Drosophila melanogaster: one gene and its partner. The gene in region 1 interacts genetically with each later gene. Each region holds a gene or a part of one and is shown on either strand. Other genes may lie near its edges.

Region 1 (3,964 bases):
TTTTTATAATATCATTAGGTATTTAATTTCCAACAATTCAACAAAAATTTCACACTTATTTCTTTAATAGTTTTCTAAAATATAGATCAAAACAACATAATAGGCAGATATTCTGGTGTTCACTGAAAGAGCAGTGCAATAAAAAAATATTAACAAAATTCAATTTGACTTAAAACTAACAGTTTTTCTTATTAATGTGTTGGATAGCCTCTGTTAGCCACCACCTACGCGGCTTGGAGTCCACCAGGTCCTGGCAACGTTTGGGGGGAATTTTTGCCAATGCATCCTGCACAACTTGCCAAATCTGAGCCTTAGACGTCGGGGAATTATTCGTCACATATTGTATAATGTCCCCCCACAGGTTTTCAATCGGGATTAAATCGGAAGATGGTGCTTGCCACGGCATTGCATCTATTCTATTTTGGGTGAACCTTTTCTTAACCGATTTGCTTCTGCCATTCGGATCATTATTCTGTTGGAATTTCCATTTTAAGGGCATATTATAATAAGAATATGACAGTAAGACATCCCTTAGTATATTTACACATGCGTTTTGGTCTATAATACCATAAATCATATGTTATGGACTCATACCATTGTAAAAAATAAACAAGCCCATACCAGTATTGCAGGTCCACCGTGATTGAAAGTCTTCAGTGGGTGTTTTGGGTGGTACTCGGTGTTTGGAGGTCGTCAGATATAACCATATGAACCAGTTCCACCAAATAGCACTATTTTTAACACATCAGTCCAGGGGATATTACGCCATTTGGAGACTGGCCAGTTTAGGTGGGTTTTAGCGAAGTTTAACCTTGGCTTAAAATGCCTTGGGCTAAGTAGGGGCACCTTTCGTGGACTCCTCGCAACTAAATTTTGATTCAGTAGTCGTCTCCGTAAATATGCATAGGAATCAAGGCAATGCTCGGTTACCGGTTGATAATTTTATAGAATAATGTATATAATGTTTTATAATGTAATGTATTATAATGTATCGAAAGTTACTATTTTATACGTTTGTCAATTTATGTGAAAAAGTACATGCAATATATAAACTTAAGGTAACCAGGGTCGGCACAAAGAAAAATATTGTAGATGCACTTATTAGACGTGATCTTGAGTATTAATGATACTAGTATTTAAATAGTATTCAATGCTGTCATCTTTTAGACTGTATAAAGGCACTTATTAAACCAAATTTGTACTTCATTCGGCTTTATACTTTCATATGTACATCAATGTTCTTACACAGCCTTACATTCACGCATTCACAAACATTGACACCTTGCCATGAAAACTAATAAAATCGCGGCATTTTGGCACATTTTCAGAGGAAAGAACGGCCGGAGTGTCGCTAATTCAATTGTTTTCGCAGCCAAAAAGAAAAGTGGAATGGGTTGATTTCAAGTGAAAATTGCCCCAAACCACTTTTCCACTTTTTCACTCTCCTACTCGCTCGCACAGCAATGCAACGAAACAAAAGAAGCGAGATCCACGAAGAAGCTGCAGAAAGGCGAACAAAAGTTGACAGCAGAGGGTATGAAGGAAGGTGAGCGAGAGGGAAGAGGCTAAAAGTGACGAGGGCGAAAAGCTCAGAGAGCAACAACTACTGTTTATTTTGAAAAGAAATAAAAACAGAGCAGGGACCGACACAGTTTGAGTGGCTGCGAGCAGGACGGCGCATGCGAGTGAGAGCATTTTTGTTAAACTGTCATAAATCTTAATTGTGATGGAATCGGATTCGGAATAGGACAAAAGAAGGGTGACGAAACGACAAAACAGATTTCACACACTTTCGGAGCAAGCGAGACGGAGCGGTCCCACAACGCTATCTCTTTCCCTAGCGATTTCCCCTGTTTCAGTTCCAAGCGTTCACTTGCCAGCACAGGGGAAAGTCTGCGCTCTTGTCGCTCTCTCTCTCTCTTCTCTCTCGCGCTCTCTTTTGGCTACCCATCGGTTTCGGGTTCTTTTCGCCAAGAGTCAGTCAGTCGACAAGAAACCGTTACTGCGTACGATCGTGCGAAAAAGCTCGGCGCACTTGGAAAAATCGTACGGTAATTAGTTAGCCGAGTGCCGGCGAGTGCGAGCGAGAGAGTAGCACATTTAATCACGCTGACAGCCAGCTTGTCCTGCAAGGGTGTGGGTGGCACACACGGCACACACAACACACACACAAGTGCGCAGCCGTCGCCAGAACGCAAAATCGAATCAGAAATTGCCGTCGCCAAAACGCGGGCTTCGTGTTTGCTCGTCAACAGCAGCGCAGCTTCCAATCGCTGCGCGTCCGTCGCGTCGCTTCATTTTTTCATCCGTATCAATCAGTGAAGGCAGAGCAGCAGCGCCCCGTTGTTGTTGTTTGTCAGCTTGACAGCGACGGCAGCGCAGCAGCAGCGCACCGGCAGAGCACCGCAGCAGAGGCTAGTGACGAAGGAACCCGGCCAGCGGGATTCAATCGCCTTTGGACTTTCGTTCGAGTAGTGACGACGAATCCGGATGAGAAGACGCACGCATCGCGACCCGCGGTTCCGCCAGAACAGTGAATTCTCAGTTTAAAACGCGTTTTTGGGGGAGGATAGAACGAGTGTTTTCCAGGCCGCCATCATATCTAGTCAAAGAAGCAGAGGTTTGATACTCTCGAACGCAAATGCTCGATCAAGACTGAAACATACGAGAAACATACAACTACAAATGGTTCAACAAAGTATACGTAAAACTACCACAAGCTAAACAAAATATACCACAAAAATATATTTATTACCAAAACTAAAGATAAACTATTGCAAATATTTACATTAAACGGTATTTAATTCACCAAAATTACACTACATACATAATGTAAAGCCAGTTACTTAAATCAACAAACCTTAACGAAGTATACGATTCAATGCAATTAATAAATTAAATTTAAATCAACACAAATTAGGAATTAAAAATACAAACGCCTCGAAACGTCATTTTTTGTCTGACATACGAAAGTTTATAAATTACAAAATCCAAAAAATATAAATTAATCAGTTATACGCTGCAACAACAACAAGTTATACTACAACGTACCAAGTGCAAAACAATAGATTATATGATCATTGTGTCAAACTAAAGTTAAGTTCCAAAATCCAACTAAAATCCTCGTTGTTTGCTCCAAAAAGAGCAAACCATCCAAGTTCCAGCAAACCGTCAAAATTCAGCAAAATTTAAAAATGTTACACGAGGCTCTGATGCTCGAGATCTACAGACAGGCGCTAAATGCCGGGTAAGTGTTATATGGAAGATTATTTCCATAGAACAGTGAAAGATGTAGAATTAAGAAAAAGATTCACATGGCCTTATTCGGGGGATTCAAAAATGTGACTACTCTGGGTATGAAGGATAAACGAACTGAGATTTTACTACCAAAGTGCATCAAAGTGTTTTTCATTATGAAATAGTGAAATATTGAATTCTTAACTAAAAGTGGCCATACTCAAAATATTCACATATAAAATAATTACATTCATCTCATTCAGTTAATATTATTTTTTTGCAATTGCTTTTTATGTGCGTTCAAGTATCTGGTTAAATAGAATATTATATATACCAAGTATATACGACATATATTGAATATAGAACGTTTTCAATCAAAATCAAAAACCATTGTCATTGTGAACTGATAGCCGAACTTGTTGAAATAGTATTGCAGACTCTCAACCACAAATCGGCCAAATAAATATATCAAGAAACTATGATTTCATGGCATTTGATGATTGGCATTGGCGGTTCGGCGTAGTCGCACACCTGTCGTTATAAATTCAGCGCCTCGCCAATAGCGCGCCCATATATCACAACACCCACCCGCAGAACCAAGAGTACTGAGTTCACGACTACGAGTCCAGACCCTCGGATCGGGAAAAGCAGAACTTGATTTGAAAAGGGTGGCTGGCAGGGGAAATCCGAAAATAACAGAAAAATCGCCATAGTTCGATGATGGGAT
Region 2 (3,600 bases), on another chromosome or scaffold:
TTTAAATTTTCGAGAAATATAATAATGTAATTTAAAAGCAATTATATTTTTGGATTTGGACCAAAGTTATTTGTAAACAAATATGCGTAATGAATCACACAGTAAAATTAGTAAACATGGAACTTCCATTAATTAACACTAGCTGGTCAATTAATTCGAACACTTTAACGTGGAATGAAGACCTAAACCAACATTTACTCCTATGAGTCTGGCCGACGGACCACAGACTAAATTTAAGTTTTATAAACTTAACTAGCCTAATGACGTTTTGATGGTGACCATCAAAATCGAATCAGTTGGAAGTCGATTAATTAGTGGCCATGCCCCTATACCGCTCACATATGGAACTGGTGAAGGAGGTGGCACAGCACGTGGACCTGATTGTAAGGGGGTTAAGATATTTTTGGTGGGTTTACCGGAGGTCCAATTATTCGGCAATTAGCCAGAGTCACTTTCAGAAACACACTCCAGAAGTGTGACACGAATTTATGCTCAATTTAACTTTTATTTGAAGTGAGTTAGGGCAGCTGGCTCTATAGGGTCAGCAGATTTCAAACTTATTAAAATATATATCACAAAAATTTAAAATCTGTTGAATTCATTAAGCGAAATAATCAAAAGTTTGTATGATATTACCTATAAATAAATTGTTAATATTCCGCATTGCTCGAAGTACGAATTTAAAAGTACAAGCCATATTTTCTTTTACCCACATTATGGATTGTTATGAATCAGTCTAAATATTTACTAAAAACAATATTAAAGCATTAAATATCCAACCTTCTCGATGTGCATTATACAACAATCATTCTATTGATTTTCCACGTTTCGCTTGCTCCATTTGAATATGTGCCCGTCATCGCCATAACAACAACATCGGAGGAAAAATCACGGTAGTAATGACAACAATAATAACAGCCTTAGCCCCAGCCAGACCACAACAATAATCACAGAGGAGAACAAAGTGATATTCGTTGGTTGTTCAATTGAAATTGTTGCAAGTCAGCTCGGACTCTCCAACTCGGTAGCTGAATTCAGACGAAGAAATCGGCATCCAATAGTACCGTCCCCTCTTTACGATCAATACTGTTGTTACCCACGCGTTCTCTGCATCGTTCCTACAGAATCCATTTATGAAAGTGGAAAATAAATGGTGTGCTCCATATCCACACTTACGTCTTGTCCGGGATCGATGAAAGCCTTCTGAAAATGGGCGGAGTTTCTTGGGTCCAGACAACTTTTTCGTCGAGTTCAATTTTCGAGCGTGCGCCATGACTTTGAAGGTACCAGCACACTCACAGCAAAAGTACAACCAAAATAGTAAGTCTGAGGGAAGAACAGTCGAGGGTAGGTAAGTAGGTGTGCTAATGAGCTAAACAGTGCTGTTTGAGATATAAATATAACATTGAATCAATTCAGAAATCCTATTTCTCTATGTAGACAATTGCGTTTTTAATTTTCTATTCGATTTACTGTCATTTCAATTTATTAATCCTTGGAAAGTAAAATAAGCTTATTTCGTAAAAAAATAAATAAGACGTTACTAAAATATAAAAAAAATATATACACTGTACAGTAAAAGTAAAATTATATTTTAAAGTTTTAATTAATGGCTTTTTATTTTTTTTTTTTAAGAATACTTCTTTGAACTAGTTCAATATTGTATGCCTTGACTGTTCACGCAACTCAAAATGGGTGTGACCAAAGATCTGGCCATCCCGCTTTAACCACAATGCTCCCTCTCAGTCGCGCTTGCGAGAGAACTATGGTCAGTGGTGGAAAATGGCGTACGAGGCGAAGGGTGAGAAAAGGTGAACAGACATGGCTGCTACATATGAATGGCTTTATTTGTGCGCGTGTGTGGGCCGTCCTTCGATTGCTTCGGCAGTGAAAACCCGTTTTGATGGCAATGGCGGTGAGAGAGAGCGAGCGAGAGCACAAGCAAACAAGAGCGAAGAGTGGCGAAACAGGTTCGCTCGCACGGAGAGTTATCGCCAGCGAGCATAACAAAAAATCGGCTCGAATGGGACGGTTCGTGTTCGCAGCGCACTCGTAAGACCGAAACGTCCGACTTTTCTCCCTGTGTGGGATTGAAATTCGTTGTAAAAACGTTTTTTATAACCGGAAAATAACACCATAATCAAGTTTCTCAGAATTCCAAGGCCCCACGGCTTTTAAAAGTGACAAAAAAGTGCAAACAAAGTATAATCAAAACAATAAAAGTGAAAATTATGAAGACAACGGGAGCCTTCTAACCCCTTTGTTTAGTTAAAAATATTAAAAAGAATACGAAATTTATTTTAACCAACACAATCTTAAAAGTAATTACTACTTGCAAAAGCAGCGCCTTTAATCAATAGTTAATGTACTAAAAGCAAAAGGTTCGGAGTATGTGCAATCCAAGTGATAGTGCCCAAGAAAAAATCGAATAACAAAGTAATAACCAGGAAAACGCATCCGGTGAACCCCGATCCAACAGACCTTCCGTCATGAGCTCTTTTCTCATGGGTTATCCGCATGCACCACATCATGTCCAGAGTCCCATGTCCATGGGCAATGGCTTGGACCCAAAGTTTCCGCCGTTGGCCGATGACTATCATCACTACAATGGACACTATTCGATGACCGCATCTACGGGTCATATGAGTGGTGCCGTCGGCGGTGGTGCAGGTGTTGGGTCTGTCGGAGGTGGTGGAGCAGGTGGGATGACTGGTCATCCGCATTCCATGCACCCGGCGGACATGGTCAGTGACTATATGGCGCATCACCACAATCCGCACAGCCACTCCCATTCGCACACCCACTCACTACCGCACCACCATAGCAACAGTGCAATATCTGGACACCACCAGGCATCCGCCGGCGGTTACAGTTCCAATTATGCCAATGCCACTCCGCCCTCACATCCGCACTCGCATCCACACGCCCATCCGCACCAGAGCCTCGGCTATTACGTCCACCACGCCCCCGAATTCATATCCGCAGGAGCGGTGCACTCCGATCCCACGAACGGATACGGACCGGCGGCAAACGTTCCAAATACGAGCAATGGCGGTGGTGGCGGAGGAAGTGGCGCAGTGCTCGGAGGTGGCGCAGTGGGTGGATCGGCAAATGGATATTACGGCGGGTACGGTGGGGGTTATGGGACGGCGAACGGAAGTGTGGGCAGCACCCACTCCCAAGGACACTCGCCGCACTCCCAGATGATGGATCTGCCCCTTCAGTGCAGCTCCACGGAACCACCGACGAACACGGCGCTGGGACTGCAGGAATTAGGTGAGTCCATACTAATAGAATTTCTGTTGTCTCTTGGAATCCGTTGAGATTTGATAGGAGGATATACTTAGTACTATTTCAATAATCTGAAGATTATCAATCGATCCTTATATTAAATATATATTTATATTTATATTTATATAATTATTTTTTTTATTTATATATCAATTCCATAGCAAAGTCATTTTACATTCGTATATCCAAACCTTTTAAAATGTCTAGGGAGCAGATTGAGAAAAACACTTAAAATAAGCCCACAAGATTGTTATGCCGCATAGTAATATTAAAAAAGATCTAATATTTTGTACATATATAAGCCCTTCA

The links. A genetic interaction does not mean that the proteins touch.
Region 2: of tsh (region 1) and Dfd, changing one enhances a phenotype caused by changing the other (phenotypic enhancement), as found in Drosophila melanogaster (one study listed by BioGRID).

What each region holds. Positions count from the first base shown.
Region 1 is NT_033779.5:21,826,612-21,830,575, forward strand, and holds the start of tsh (teashirt), read left to right. Parts: upstream 1-1,981; 5' UTR 1,982-3,194; coding exon 3,195-3,247; intron 3,248-3,964. UniProt on the Drosophila melanogaster protein: Homeotic protein that acts downstream of Arm in the Wg cascade during embryogenesis to determine segment identity throughout the entire trunk.
Region 2 is NT_033777.3:6,789,836-6,793,435, forward strand, and holds the start of Dfd (deformed), read left to right. Parts: upstream 1-2,000; 5' UTR 2,001-2,489; coding exon 2,490-3,276; intron 3,277-3,600. UniProt on the Drosophila melanogaster protein: Sequence-specific transcription factor which is part of a developmental regulatory system that provides cells with specific positional identities on the anterior-posterior axis. Homeotic protein controlling Drosophila head development.